2 linked regions of the Anolis sagrei genome follow. The protein of the gene in region 2 purifies or fractionates together with the protein of the main gene of each other region. This does not show direct contact. Links are inferred from orthologs where the notes say so. Each region holds a gene or a part of one and is shown on either strand. Other genes may lie near its edges.

Evidence for each region. The genes of interacting proteins can lie anywhere in the genome.
Region 1: the proteins of DCAF6 (region 2) and TNNC2 purify together in Homo sapiens (affinity purification with mass spectrometry; 3 studies listed by BioGRID and IntAct, with this or other methods). This does not show direct contact. The link is inferred for Anolis sagrei from reciprocal best matches to the Homo sapiens genes DCAF6 and TNNC2.

What each region holds. Positions count from the first base shown.
Region 1 is NC_090024.1:248,918,512-248,926,352, reverse strand, and holds the start of TNNC2 (troponin C, skeletal muscle), read right to left. Parts: upstream 3,033-7,841; 5' UTR 2,915-3,032; coding exon 2,912-2,914; intron 1,825-2,911; coding exon 1,773-1,824; intron 1-1,772. UniProt on the Homo sapiens protein: Troponin is the central regulatory protein of striated muscle contraction. Tn consists of three components: Tn-I which is the inhibitor of actomyosin ATPase, Tn-T which contains the binding site for tropomyosin and Tn-C.
Region 2 is NC_090023.1:51,576,072-51,583,971, forward strand, and holds the start of DCAF6 (DDB1- and CUL4-associated factor 6), read right to left. Parts: upstream 3,068-7,900; 5' UTR 2,948-3,067; intron 2,793-2,947; 5' UTR 2,756-2,792; coding exon 2,662-2,755; intron 1,295-2,661; coding exon of another isoform or gene 1,022-1,294; exon of another isoform or gene 991-1,021; intron 1-990. Other genes in the region: SELENOK (selenoprotein K), read left to right, coding at 1,022-1,294; MPC2 (mitochondrial pyruvate carrier 2), read left to right, coding at 3,601-3,709. UniProt on the Homo sapiens protein: Ligand-dependent coactivator of nuclear receptors. Enhance transcriptional activity of the nuclear receptors NR3C1 and AR. May function as a substrate receptor for CUL4-DDB1 E3 ubiquitin-protein ligase complex.

The DNA of each region.
Region 1 (7,841 bases), on a different chromosome or scaffold from region 2:
TTGAATACTGTTACATTTTTCAGGCTTGAGCTATGCCGGTGCTTGTAGAGAAGCAGAGGGAGACGGAGTTTGGAGTGTGCTTTTGCTTCACGAGCTGCTGAAGGAGTTTCTCTACGTGGACAAAAGAAAAACCTTTCTAAATCTCTCATAACAGGACATTATGTGAATTAATGCAACTGACCACAGGATTGTACATATGTTGTTCTGAGTTACGAAGAGTAAACCACTTGTTATGTACTGTTCGTCTGCATGGCATAGTTTCTAGAACTACACATCCTTTTCATTTCATCACAGAATGTAAATAAAGTGTTATTACTGGGTCATAATCTGTTGGGAGGGGTTGAATCATCTTCCTGCCTGGCTGAAGGGGGTGGGACTGCATGGCCTTTGGGGTCCCTTCCTTCTCTAGGACCCCAGGATTCTCTCCCCTTTGCTACAGGTTTTTAAGCAGAGGATGGATGGATGCATGCCTATCTGTCAGGAGGGATCTGATAGTGTCTTTCCGCCTGGCCTTTGGGCAACTTCAAGAGAAGTTGAGCGTCTCCTCCAATTTGGGCCCTCCCTCCCTCCATGGGTGTTGGACTCCAACTCCCATCATTCCCCACAGCCTCAGGCCCCTTCCTTTCCATCTCAGCTGCTTAACACCCATGGAGAGAGGCCCGAAGATGGCCCATACCTGCCTTTAACTGTTTCTATCTTTGGCATCCCCCCCCCCCCAACTGTGAGTTCCCTGAGGCCCCTTGGAAACGCAGGCAGTAAAAACAACCCATAATAATGAAGGGAAATGGCATGGACGGGAATGGCAAGGTGGAGCTGTGGCTCTCGGCAGAATTGTCTTGCTGGAAGGGGCTCCCAGGGGCCATCTAGTCTGACCCCCTTCTGCCAGGAAGGGAACGCACTGCTCAAGGCACCTCTGAGAAGGGAGGTGGGCTAGGTGGCCTTTGGGTGCCCCTTCCACCTGCTCCTTCCCTTCCAAAGCCTCCCCAGGGATTGAGGGCAAGAAGGTCAGGGCTAGGCAGAAGGGGCCCTAGCAAGGGTCAAGCACTTGACCCTCCGACCCCCTTTGCACTGGGGATGCTCTCAGGGCCTGATGTCTGGTCACTCTCTTCCCCCCCCCCTCTTTCCATTCCTGGGGCTGTTTGTCATTGGATGCCATGGTGAATTATCTTGCAAGAAGGGCTCCCAGGAGCCACCTAGTCTGACCCCCTTCTGCCAGGAAAGGAATGCCCTTCTCAAGGCACCTGGGCTAGGTGGCCTTTGGGTGCCCCTTCCACCTGCTCCTTCCCTTCCAAAGCCTTCCTGGGGATTGGGGGCAAGAAGGTCAGGGCTAGGCAGAAGGGGCCCTAGCAAGGGTCAAGCACTTGACCCTCTGACCCCTTGCTCCCTCCGTCAAGGCCTTTGCCCTCACACCAGTTGGATTTCCGCTGCCTCTTTGTAAGGGATTGCGGCACCTTTCCCTCTGCACTGGGGATGCTCTCAGGGCCTGGTGTCGTGTCACCCTCTGTCCACCCCTGGGACTGTTTGTCATTGGTCAGCTTCATGGATGGATGTCCAGCTGCTTTCTCTGTGGCTCCGCAAGGGAGAAAGGCAGGCAGCCAGGCTGCGGAGTGAGTCCTGTGAGGGAGCTGCTCTGGCCACGGCAATGGTCAAGCGCTTGACCCACCCAGGTCACTGCTGGCCCTCCAATGAGTGGGCTTTCTCCCCTGACCCAGGGCCAAGCCAGGCTTCCTTGCCCCCAGAGACACCACCCCATCTCCAACCTTTTGACTCACCAGCAATCATCTCCTCGCTGAGGTAGGACCGGGCCTCCGCCTGCTGGTCCGTCTGCAAGGCAAGCACAAAGTCCAGGAAAGGGCAACACCTGACCCCTCCCGACAGACGGCCAGACTCCCTCCCTGTCCCCATTGGGCCCCTCTCTGTGGACCACCAAAGATCCCTTGGCTCTTATAGGGCTTCACTGGCTTTGGCCAGAAAGATGGACTTGAATTCCCCGCACAGAACTAGGCTGCTGCCTCCAGGCATCTCCCTGCAGAGATGCTCCAGGCCCTTGTGGACCAGGGTGACCGGCCAGTCATGTGGCCAAGGTGGACATCATTGGCTCAAAAATGCCCCAAAGCATCCCATTCCAGGGCAGCCTTTGCAAAGTGGGGTCTGTCCGGTCCCTTGGGCAAGTCCAGGATAACTTGGCTTCCATTGGGTGGCCTTTCTGGAGGCTTCATGGCTGCTTTGCTCCATCCTGGCCTTGCTCCTCTTCCTCCTCCTCCTCCTCGTCCTCTCCGGCCAGATGCCATTGTCCACTTGGATCTTCAGGCGCCTGTGGCGATGGGGGGGAGGGCGCTCCTCCTTGATCCCGGGCTATTCTTAGCCGTGGCCCCCGGGCTCGGGCCTTGTAGGGAGCCAGGGCTGGACACCAGCTGCTCCACGCAACACCTGTCGGCCTCGGATCGGGTTACTCCTTGGGGCTTCGTCTCTGGTGGGCGGGCGGGTGGGTGGGTGGGCAAGCATGAAGCCTCCTTGTGACCGGCAGCTCGCTTTCCCTGCTGCTGCGTCCTTGGCTGGACTCCCAAGCCAGACCCGTCCAGCCCACACGGCTGTAGAGTTCGGAGCTGTCCACCCTGAAGGAGAGGATCTGACCCAGCCAAGGGGACTCTTGGCTCTGCTCCTTTCGATGACTCTGAGACCCTCCTTGGCCCCATCGGCCTCCCCCAGACCCAAATGCCCCACTCCACTCCTTGCAATGACCCCACCACCAACAGCTTCAACCAGAGAGTCCTTCAGCTTCACCGTAACCTTTGCCCTGTCCCTTGCCATCTTCTGCCCTCATGTCCAGCCCCAACCGCCCTTCCTTGACCATGCAAACCACTTCCTTGACCATGCAAACCCCAACCTTAACCCTAACCCGTGGTCTTACCATGTTGGCAGGCTAAGGGCACCCCACTGAGAGAGAGCGAGAGAGAGAAGGGCCACTGGTGACGACGACGACGGGTCCCACACCTGCTTCTCCGGGTCAGATGGCAAACCGCTCCGTCCGAGGCTCTGGCACGGCCTTTTATACCTGGACAACTGGGCACGGCTCCGCCCACACTGCCCTCATTGGGCACCAAGGGAGGTGGCTCTTTGGTCAGCCAATGGCCTTCCTCCTCGGCTGCTCATTGGCCGGCCAGGCATTTTACCAAATTTAGCCAAGCCACTCCTGGCTGTGTCTTGTGCAGATATGTGTGTGTGAGTGCGTGTGTGTGTGGGACCCTCAGGGAGAGCGAAATCCTACCCTTGGCCTGACTTGAGTGAATGGCAAGGGACTGACGGCAGCCCCATCCTCGGAGGGGTAAAAATAGACCCTCCCCATATGGAGAAGGAGGCCGCAGGGTTGGGTGGTCTCCCTCCTTGGGGGGAGGGGGAAGAGGGGGTCTGCTCCCTTGGCCCCTGCACTGAGGTCTCTGCCGTGGGGAGGGCCCCCGGGGGGAAGGCATGCCGAGCACCCACCCCCCTCGCATGCCATGCCGAGCCCCCTCCCCAGCTGCCTCCTTGCATCCCGAATATTCCGGCCTCATTTGTTGACACCGGGATCCGGTTTCCTCCATGCCCAGAATGCGGGGAGAGAAGACGCCCGGTCTCCTTCCCCGCCCCCCAACATCCCAATATACACATAGGCCGGCCTTTACACTCCCCCCATGGAAGGACCCCCCCTTTCAGCCTGCATGGAAAGGTGGAAGAAGGTCTTGGGATGGGCGCCCCACTAACACCCACAAGGCACACATTGCCCCATTTTGGAAGGGCCCGGATTTGCGGAGGCAAGGGGGCCTGTGGGATGGAAATGGGAGGGGCTCAGCAATGGGTCAGGAAGGCCAGAGGCATTCTTGTTCTGGGCCTCCAAGTCGCCTGCGGACGTAGAGTGATCTAGAGGGGGGCTTTTCTTGGGCAAGGAACCTTCAGAGGACGCGGTGCCCTTTCCTGTCTGAGAAATCCTCTATTTCATAGAATCCTAGAATCAAAGAGTTGGAAGAGACCTCCTGGGCCATCATCCAGTCCAACCCCATTTTGCCAAGAAGCAGGAATATTGCATCCAAATCACCCCTGACAGATGGCCATCCAGCCTCTGCTTAAAAGCTTCCAAAGAAGGAGCCTCCACCACACTCCCTCCGGGGCAGAGAGTTCCACTGCTGAACGGCTCTCACAGTCAGGAAGTTCTTCCTCATGTTCAGATGGAATCTCCTCTCTTGTAGTTTGAAGCCATTGTTCCCTTGCATCCTAGTCTCCAGGGAAGCAGAAAGGAAGCTTGCTCCCTCCTCCTCGCTGTGGCTTCCTCTCACATATTTATACATGGCTATCATCTCTCAGCCTTCTCTTCTTCAGGCTAAACATGCCCAGTTCCCTAAGCCGCTCCTCATAGGGCTTGTTCTCCAGACCCTTGATCATTTTAGTCGCCCTCCTCTGGACACATTCCAGCTTAGAGTCAATATCTCTCTTGAATTGTGGTGCCCAGAATTGGACACAATATTCCAGGTGTGGTCTAACCAAGGCGGAATAGAGCATGGGGAGCATCACTTCCTTAGATCTAGACACTAGGCTCCTCTTGATGCAGGCCAAAATCCCATTGGCTTTTTTTGCCGCCAATGTTTTATTTACTCGAATCTAATGCTTTCTGTTTTCTGGCTCAATGGCATTGCCAAAATTAGGGTGGTGACATATTAGAATGGCTTCAGGACCCCCTGGAGCTCCTCTTTGATTGGCCTCGCCTCTACTTGAATGGCCACGTCACCTGGGAATGTGGACTTTGGTGAGGCATCAGCATTCTTTGGCCAAGAAGGCTCAAAACCGTGTCAAATTAGATGACTCCATGGCATTGAACCAAGACAGTTCCGTTGCTGGACGGTCTGGCGCTCCCTCCCGTTCTGTTTTTAACGAAGGAACCCTAATCAGGCAGCCACTCTCATGCGCACCTTTTGGGGCCAAACTACAAAGAGTGCATCTTTCGCCGCTAAACATTATGTTGGTCAGCAAATACTCTATTTTGGTTTCAGGGTTTTGGAAATTGAGGTGCGCATTAGAGTCGATGGTGTGTTAGACTCAAGTAAATACGGCACCTGGGATTCACAGACAGGCCTCCTGGCCTTGGGGAAGCTGCTTCCGGGATTGTCACTCCCAGCATCCTCCAGGAGCTGGCCATCCAAATTGGAGGAAAGAGACCAAGGTCCGGCATCGTGTGGGTCTGGGCCTTCAAGTCCCCTCCTGACTGATAGGCACCCCAAGCATTTCAATGGGATTTCCTTGACGAGGGAGACCCAGAGGTGGCTTGGCCAGTCCCTTCCTTCAACTCGCAGTCTACAGAACCTGGGATTCCCTGGCGGTCTCCCACCCAATTACAAACCAGGGCTGACACTGCTTAACTCCCCAAACCAGACAGGACTCAGTGTTTTGGGGTGTCAAGGCCACGTGTGTGTTGGTGCCAGCCCCACGCATTTCATCCAAGGAGGTGATTTCCTTCCTCTGAAAGGTCACCCCCAGGAGACCCACCCAGGCAGAACCTGCTTTTCATCCAGGATCAGACGGGATCTGATGCCTTTGGAGTGGGGATCAAATGATGGAACTTGAGGAGACGTTGGCCTGTTCTTGAAGATTTTGGGGGAAATGACCCCTGGCAGTTCCTGGAAATGGGTGGAGGTGTTTGGCTCTCTCTCTCTCTCCTTGTCAGCTTTGTGGCATCATGGCTTGCGTTCCTCCAGTTGCTTCTCCCTTCCTGCCCGTTTCAAGTTTGGAGCAGAAGGCATTTCTGAACCGGGGTCTCAAAAGTGGCTTGGCTTCTGACTCATCTCCCAATGCAGACGGGCACAAGGCAGGGATGACACAGGCTGCTACACTGCGTTGGGTGGGACCCACCTGGCCTGGCCTGGCCCAGCACTGGTGAAGCCAAACTAGACTTTAGGGTGGGAGGTCAACTCCAAGGGGAGATGACCCTTAGTTCCCACCAAAGAGGGAACGCTACCTTGGCAAGCCTTCAGAGAAGCCCGATTCCAGCAATTTTATTTAATACTAGCTGTACCCGCCACACATTGCTGTGGCCAACCTTCCCCCTATCTCCCCTTCTTTCCCTCCTTCCTTCACTCCCTGTTTCCTTCCTTCCTTCCTTCCCGTCTTTCCTTCTCTCCTTCCTTCCTTCTCTATCGCTTTCCTTCCTTCCCCCTTTTTCTTTCTCTTCTGCTGTCTCTTTTTTCTTCCTTCTCTCTTTCTTCCTTTCTTTCCCTCCCTCTTTCTCTACATCTTCCCCCCTCCCTTCGCTCCCTCTTTCCTTCCTTCTTCCTTGTTCTCTTCTGCAATCTCTCTTTTCTTCCTTCTCTCTTTCTTCCTTTCTTTCCCTCCCTCTTTCTCTACATCTTCCCCCCTTCCTTCGCTCCTTCTTTCCTTCCTTCTTTCCCTTTTTTCTTTCCTTCTCTTCTTCCTTCTCTAACTTTCCTTCCTCCCCCCCCTTTTTCTTTCCCTTCCTCTTTCTCTCCTTTCTTCCTTTTCTACCTCATTCCTTCCTTCTTTCTTTCCCTCCCTCTTTCTCTCCCTTCTTCCTTGACAGATTAGAAGGGGGCGTGGCTTGGAGGTAACGTGAGGGGTAAGAGGGAGGAAGGGAGGGGGGATGGGTTTAGAAAGGGTGCCGCGCGGGGGGGGGGGATGAGGGCGCGCGCGCGCGTGTGTGTGTGCCGCGCCGGGGGGGTGAGGGGGGCGCGTGTGTGTGTGTGTGTATGTGCCGTGCGGGGGGGGGGGTGAGGGGGGCGTGTGTGTGTGCCGCGCCGGGGGGGTGAGGGGGGCGTGTGTGTGTGTGTGCCGTGCGGGGGGGGGAGTGAGGGGGGCGCGTGTGTGTGTGTGCCGCGTGGGGGGGGGGGTGAGGGGGGCGTGTGTGTGTGTGTGCCGCGCGGGGGGGGGGGTGAGGGGGGCGTGTGTGTGTGCCGCGCGGGGGGGGGGGGGTGAGGGGGGCGCGTGTGTGTGTGTGCCACGCGGGGGGGATGAGGGGGGCGCGCGTGTGTGTGTATGTGCCGTGCGGGGGGGGGTGAGGGCGCATGCGTGTGTGTGTGTGTGCCGCGCCGGGGGGGTGAGGGGGTGCGCGCGCATGTGTGTGTGTGTGCCGCGCCGGGGGGGTGAGGGGGCGCGCGCGTGCGGGTGTATGTGTGTGTGCCGCGCCGAGGGGGGGAGAGTGAGGGGCCATATGTGCGCGCACGTCGGGGAGTTTGCGCCAGTGCGCATGCTCAGTTGCTTTCCCGTTTTTTGTGGTTGTTGTTGTGTGGTTTTGATTTCAGAGTGGATTAGTTTGTACCTAGTGGGTTGTCCTTGGGGCATGGCAATTTTGGTAGAGTTTTGTGGAGAGGTTTTAGAGTTTTGCTTCCCCGTTGGACGCCAGTAGGAAATTTATATATATAGATTAATAATTGAAATGAGCCCCTTGCCAAAGCGAAGAAGGGGCATCGAGGTGTTTATTAGCGATTCAGCTGAGATCGGATGCATTGCAGGAATCATTCCACCACAAGCATGCAGGAGCACAGGGATACAGGCATATTTATAGGCAAAATACAGGAAAACATTTCAAATTTTTCCGCCCGCCCCTCTCCACTCGGCTTCTCTCTGATTGGTTAGGCATTGTTTTGGCCAGCAAAGGTTGATTTCATTATGAAAGGTTTTCCTGCCTTAGACCTGATAAGGTGTGTCTTCTGATGGATTTTGAGAAGGGAACAAACAGGGACCCCAGGGGGTCAGCCTTGTCCCTTTGTGATTCAATCAAAATGTCCAAAGAAAACTTCCCTGCCTGCCAGACAAAGCAAACAAGAGGATGTTTCATTTTTCTGGGGCAAAGGGAAGTGGGG
Region 2 (7,900 bases):
CTCCCGGGGGGTGGTGTTCATTTCCATTTCTAAGCCGAAGAGTCGACTTAGTCAGTAGATGACTCCTAGGTCATGTGGCTGGCATAACTGCATGCAGTGCAGTTACCTTCCCACCGAAGTGATACCTATTGATCTACTCACATTTGCATGTTTTTGAACTGCAAGGTTGGTAGAAGCTGGGCCTAACAGCGGGAGTCAACCTTTCGGTCAGCAAGCTCAGCAGCTCAGTGGTTTAACCGCTGTGCCACCAGGGGCCTCTTGTTATATGTATGCTGGATCTGTATTTTTTAAATATATATATATATATATGTTGTGAGCCGCTTTGGGTCCCATTTAGGAAGAAAAGCTGGGTATAAATGAAGAGTTATGTGTGTGTGTGTGCATGTGTTTGTGTGTATATGTGTGTGTATACCATATATACTTGAGTATGAGTTTTTCAGGCCTTTTTTAGGCTGAAAAAGCCTGCAATTGGCTTATACTTGAATCAAGATTATTGGTTATTTTACTCTGTTATTATTATTTTTATTACATTTATTATTTTACTCTTATTATTATTACATTTATTATTTTTCACTACTTGATATTGATATTATTACCCCCACCTTACTGAAGGCCTGACTCCATTGTTCCGTCCCCTATGAGCTCCTCCCTTACAAATATACCTTTTTAATTGTTATCTAATCCAAAGTTTTGTCATTTTATGTCGTACATTTGGCCCGCCCACTGTGTTTGATTTTCACTTTCTTATTTTGCACTGTTTTATTTTACTTGTATGTTTTACTTATTTCATTGTGATGTTATTTTTTGCCACTCTGTATTTATTTTGCTGTAATGTATCACCAGGTTTGGCCTCATGTAAGTCCCCCCTCTGGGGAGATGGTGGCGGGGATATAAATAAAGTGTATTATTATTATTGTTGGGCTTTCCTCGTGAAGGGGCGGGGCAAAAGGGAACACCTCGTAGGGAGTCGGATCTGGGATTGTGGGGCAGAGGTGTTGCGAGGAAGTGGCGCAGCACAGCCATGGTTTACATTTCGAACGGACAAGTGTTGGATAACCAGAGCCAAGCTCCATGGAGCTTCTCATCTATAACTGACTTCTTTTGGGAAATAGCAGGCTTTGTCGTTATGTTTTTCCAGAGCATTATTCATCCAGACCTGACGAGAGGGTGTACATCTTCTTCCACTTCAAGATACGATGATGGAAGAGGACCCCCAGGATTACCTCGTCATAGAATGGGCCGAATAAGTCATTTCGGTGGTCTAAGCCCCCCACCAATGGCTGGAGGTGGATGAGGAAGGTAAATGCCTCCTTCATAAAAGGAGGCAGCCAGACATAAACATTTGCAAGATGGGAATGACCTGCTGAGGGATGAGCTGATGGGGGCCTGTGGGTTGCGATTGTGTTGTCTGAAAGATTCCCTGCTCTGCCAATTGGCAGAACCATGATGTTGTCCTGGAAATTCCTTGTTCTGGGATCCAGGTCAACTGAAAAACAGTTCTGTTAAATTAAATGCATTTCTGTACTGTCTATTTTACGCCTTTTTGTGTAGCTTGTGATTATTATTACTACTATTACTCCTAACCAGAGGAGGGCGACTGAAAAGATCAAGGGTCTGGAGAACAAGCCCTATGAAGAGCGGCTTAAGGAGCTGGGCATGTTTAGCCTGAAGAAGAGAAGGCTGAGAGGAGATATGATAGCCATGTATAAATATGTGAGAAGAAGCCACAGGGAGGAGGGAGCAAGCTTGTTTTCTGCTTCCTTGGAGACTAGGACGCGGAACAATGGCTTCAAACTACAAGAGAGGAGATTCCATCTGAACATGAGGAAGAACTTCCTGACTGTGAGAGCCGTTCAGCAGTGGAACTCTCTGCCCCGGAGTGTGGTGGAGGCTCCTTCTTTGGAGGCTTTTAAACCGAAGTCCTGGATGGCCATCTGTCAGGGGTGATTTGAATGCAATATTCCTGCTTCTTGGCAGAATGGGGTTGGACTGGATGGCCCATGAGGTCTCTTCCAACTCTTTGATTCTATGATTATTTTACTCTATTTATTATTGTTATATTATATTTATTTTACTCTATTATTTTACCCAGTTTTATAGTGTCTTGATGTATTGTTTTATTGTTGTTGTTCATATTGCTTAACTGTTTTTAATTTGCGTTAGGTATTGTATTGTTGTATTGTGTTTTGAGGCCTTCGGGAGATGCTAGCGGGGTACAAATAAAGTTATAATATATTATTGTTATTATTACATTTATTATTTTACACTACTTATTATAGTGTTATCATTTTACTCTACTGTACCTGTCCCAGCTTACAAACAAATTCAACTTAAGAACAAACCCATCTTGTTTGTAGCTTAGGGGCTGCCTGCACTTGGCTTCCAAAGAGGCTGTATAAGAGTGAAGATATTTAAAGGGCATTCAAGTCGCACTCTCTCCCTACACCAAGCTTAGGCCAACTTCGGCCGTCCAGGTGTTTTGGACTTCAACTCCCACAATTCCTAACAGCCTACCGGCTGTTAGGAATTGTGGGAGTTGAAGTCCAAAACACCTGGACGGCCGAAGTTGGCCTATGCCTGGTCTACACACACCGCGGGCCGCTCCACCATTTTCTCCGGCCTCCCCCTCTACTCAGGCGCCAGGCCTTGCCCTTCCCTCACCTAGGTACCGTCTCCTCAGCAGGCCGGGCTCCTCCAGGCCCAAACTCCGCTGCCTCACATCCCACAGCAGGTGGGGGCAGCACCCCCGGGACATGGCACCAGGAGGACGACGAGGAGGAGGACGAGGGTCGCTTTCGCCGCCGAAGAAGAAGAACGAGCAGGAGAAGGAGGCATCAGCCGCGGCCCATTCCGCAGGCCGCCCGCACGCGCTCCGCCACCTTCACCATGGAAACCCGCGGGCGCGCGCCTAGTAGGGAGGGAAAGGGAGGGCGCGCGCGCGCACCACCTCCTCCTCCGCCACGAGCCGCCGGGCCGCAAGCGATTCCCTTCTTCTCTCGTCCTCTCCTGCAAAACAAGCAAGGAGCCACCGCGGCGGTAGGCTCCGCCCCCTTTCTCCTCTAGGAATTCCCGCGACGTCCTTTCCAAAGCATCGCGAGACTTCCCTCCGCGTCCTTTCTGACAGTTGGGAGAAAATGGCGTCAGGTGGCAGCGGTCGTCCCTTCCTGTCATGACCTCCTTTGGGAAAACAAACAACCGCCTTTCAAAGAGCAGCTTCTTTTTTGTTTTTAAAAACTTCCCTCATGTCTGCTCAAAAAACGCTTTGGTGTGTGTCCTTCGCCGCCAAGAAGCGTAGAGAAACATGTTGATTATTTCCAAAAGAATAGCCGGTGTCGTCATCAACTGTCGTCCCGCTCCCTTCTGTCGTCATCAAAAGAGGACCGTGATGTTGTCATCGACGCCGGGTGAGAAGCTTGTAAGGAACATTAACCAATAGCATAAGGATCGGCTGTCCAAGCCCCGCCCACGTCCTATCCGGCGAGCCAATCACGGAGAAGGAAAGCGGGATCGTCCCACCACCTGGCTCTTGGCTCACTCGGTTAGGAGAGCGAGGAGGACGCGGACGAGTGGCAGGGGTCTTCGCCGCCGGAGTAACACAGGATGGCGGGCGCCGCCACCGCGGGGCTCCGCGCCTCCTACCACCGGTTCTTGGACCGGATTGAGCTCATGCTGCCTCCCCGGCTGCGCCCTCTGTACAATCACCCAGCAGGTAGGGAAAGGCGAGGCTCATTGGAGGTGACCCGGGTCAGTGTATCGTGTGAGCGCGGAAACGCGTGAAGACTGGAGGCCTCTGGCGGTATTTATTTGTCGTGTCAGGACGACCAGTCATATTATATTACATTTCTAACAGAACAAAGCAAACAGACAGACAGAATACACAATTTGTGAGTTTGGTAGTTGATTAAATGTCCTTTGACCAGCATCTGGCCACTTGGAGTGCCTCTGGTGGTATCCACACGTGAAGGCAGAGGGCCCTCCTTTTATACAATAAGGTCCTGGGACCTTTGTATTTGGCCACCCCTTCCCTCACACCATGTTTATAGTGCAAGGGAGTCGATGTGAGGTTGTGAGGGGATCTACTCACCTGATCCTCGTGTGGGAGGAGGATTTCCAATCCCCACTCCTCTGTGTGACCTTGGGCCAGGCATCTTCTTCCTGGGATGTTTTGTAAGCATGAGATTGATCAGGCATGGGCAAGCTTGGGCCCTCCAAGTGTTTTGGACTTCAACTCCCACCATTCCTAATAGCTTCAGGCCCCTTCCTTTTCCCCCTCAGCCGCTTAAGCCTGATATTGATGGTCAATAATTATTTATTTCTTCCCCACCTCTTCTTACTGTTCCAGAATGGTTATACAACACCCGGATAAAACACAACACCTTAAAAAGGCTTTTTATTAAAATACGTAGTGCAAAGATTAATTCAGAATGCTAATAGATCGTAGATTTACAGTTTATGGAAGAAAGGGAGGGAGAGGATCCATCCATCTGACCCCATACCAGGAGAAAGACAGGATATGTAAATAAAAATAAATATATAAATTGTGTGTGTGTGTACATACATGTATGCCCCCCCCCCGGTGATGCAGCGGGTTAAACCACTGAGCTGCTGAACTTGTTGTCTGAAAGGTTCGTAGTTCAAATCCGGGAGCGGGGTGAGCTCCCACTATTAGCCCCACCTTCTGCCAACCTAGCAGTTCAAAAACATGCGAATGTGAGTAGATCAATAGGTACCACTTCAGTGGGAAGGTCATGCATGTATATATATCTTGTAAGCCGCTCTGAGTCCCCTTCGGGGTGAGAAGGGCAGCATACAAATGCCATAAATAAATAAATAAATAAATAAATGCATATTGTTGTGATCACTTATAATATTATAATGTAATACAATAAAATACTACTAATAATATTGCAATATAATGATATAGTGCAATATAGTATTATATAATACTGATATTGTACTATGCTAATAATATAATATATTGTATGTATATATATTTTGTAAGCCGCTCTGAGTCCCCTTCGGGGTGAGAAGGACGGCATAGAAATGTCATAAATAAATAATGCTGGCCACATGACCTTGGGAGCCTTTATGGATAACGCCAGCTCTTTGGCTTAGGAATGGAGATGAATACCACCCCCCAGAGTTGAACACGACTAGACTTAATGTCAAGGGAAACCTATACACATGTATATACACACACCACCAGGCAAAATAATGGGATGTAAATATTGGATAATAATAATAATAAATAATAATAATAATAATAATAATAAACTTTATTTATACCCCGCACCATCTCCCCAGAGGGACTCAGGGTGGCTTACAATCAAGCAAATTGAGACAATAAATGATATACACAGAAAGTGATCTCATAATAGCACAACAATATAAACACATATTTAAATAAATTTTAAAACACTATACAACCCTATATACTGTATCTATACTGTAGAATTAATGCAGTTTTACACCACTTTGACGGTCATGGCTTTATGCTATGGGATCCTGGGGGTTGTACTTTAGTAAGGCACCAGCACTCTTGGGCAGAAAAGGCTAAAGACCTTGTAAAACTATAACTCCCTCAATCCTATAGCCTTGAGCCATACCGGTGAATATAGTGTCAAGCCGCATTCATTCTATGGTTTAGACGTACCCCACAGACAGAGAATACTCCAAAGCACCAAATTTTGTTTCAGTCTGGAGGCTAAGCAAGGTCAACCCTGGTTAGTGCTTGGATGGGCTAGGCTTTATTTTAGGGGAAGGAACTGGCAAACCCACCTTTAAATATTTCTTGCCTTAATAACATCCTATGAAATTCATGTGGGCCAGTCACCATAAGTTGACAGGCACACTTTCCACAACAAATAATGCATACAATTCAAGAACATAAGATGGGACATTTGTGAAGGGAATGGGTAGGATGTGATTCAAAGTGTCATTTATTTCATGGACTGAGACACAGGAGAGCTGGATTAACATGACCTTGAAGTTATATTGTTCTTGTGCTTTTTTCTCTTCCTGTAATTTTATTATAATTGTCAAAGGTGTGTAAAAGCTGGAGTTCTGTTCAGCCTCTCCATTGGCACAGATGGTTTTTGGAAAAACATAATCTCTTATCTCTGTGTCTCAGGGAAAGGAGAGAGTAATTTAGAAAAAGGATTGCTTTGCAAGCAGTAAGTAGCCCTGCAGAAAAAGAGAAGTGGCATGTTTCTAACCGTGTCCTTCTACACTGCTCTTAAAAATGTTAGATGTCTACCCTTCACTGCAGACTAAGCTTTGTGTCTCTTCTTCTGTCAATGTGTTTTGGGGCTTTGTTTAGGGTTAGGGTTTTGTGTGTGAAAGGATGCTGCTTTGGTGCACTATTGATTTGGAAGGTCGCCTGTCCAGAAAAGCTACACTGCAGACCTTTTCACAGAGCCCACCAAATGTTGGTAGTTACCTACATACTTTACCAAGTAGTAGTTCTATCATAAGACCTGGATGAAATAAACAGTTTCTTTGTCTTCCTATCATGAAGACATTAGGAGTCTCTAATAAAATTGCTATTTGTATTGTGTGCGTGTGTGCATGTTTTTGTTTTTTACAGGGCATGCTTTCATTGTAGTGCTTTTTTGTTTTTTCTCTCATCAGTTCTGAAATCATTCTGATACTTAATATCTGTCAACTACCGGTGAAATATTTTCATCTTAAAGGCGAATGGGGAGGAGTAGGATAAATGTGTTTAAAATTATGCATAGTGTAGGGAAAGTATTAAACTGGATAAGGAGACTTTTTTTTTGCTTCTCATAACACTAATAACTGGGTCATCGAATAAAGCTGAATTGTATGAGATACATGACAGGTAAAATAATTGCTTCTTTATACAATATATAGTAAACAAGGCAATTTCACTATTACAAGATCCAGTGATAGGCAACAACCTGGATAGCTTTAAAAGCAAATAATGAGAAACTGATAGAAGGTAAGGCTATTGTTGGTTACTAAACAGAATACATGCTACTGAGAATAAAAGAAGGAAAGGTGCTATCATACCACCATGGATCTCTTCATGCTCTTACTGCATATATTGACTATAGTATCCCTTTGGATTTACTCACTGCAGAAAAGGGAAAACACTAACTAATCTTTAGTATTTAACTATAATCCATTCTCAAACTAACTGCTTGTTATCTATCTTCTTTTATCTGAAACTTGCTTTCCTAGTTTTCATATCTCTACAGTATGCAGACTTTTGAACTTTTTGACCTCGGCTATATTAAAAGAAGAATTCAGACTTTCAGACCATGATAACCTGTAGTTGTCTTCTGTTGTTTTGAAGAATCTTGCTTTTATTAAGAGGTTTATTACACAAATGTTAACACAATGTTATTCTTTTGGGCTGGAGAGAAGTTCCATGGAACAGTGTAGATGATAAATTAAAACCCAAAAGCCTGATGTCTCGGGACTTTATTGTGGTGTAGTGCTTCATTCGATCAGAGAATATCCCTTCTGAGTCTAGTTACAAACTATAGATAGCCTTAGAGTAGCTGTTCGATTTGTTTGAGACTCTCATGTTTTCTATGAGTTTAATCCTAAATTCACCAAACTTTCTGAGGATCATTGACATATATGTGAAACACATTTGTGAAATATGTATATGCACTCAGGCATATTATTATGAAGACTGTGAAATAAGATTAGGCAGGCAGCTAAGGAGTGGCATTGAGAAGAAGCCAAACTTTCTTCAAATTTCTGTCTCTCGAGTTATCATTTTTCCATACAAATCTTTCATGCATTAATGGTTTCCTGTTCATATAACTGAAAAAGTCAGTTCTACAAAATAGTGTTCTAAGGCTTGGTGGCAAGTGTAAACTAGTCTGTGGAGGAAGGTTTTAGATCTTCTCTTTGTTGGATTGCCCAA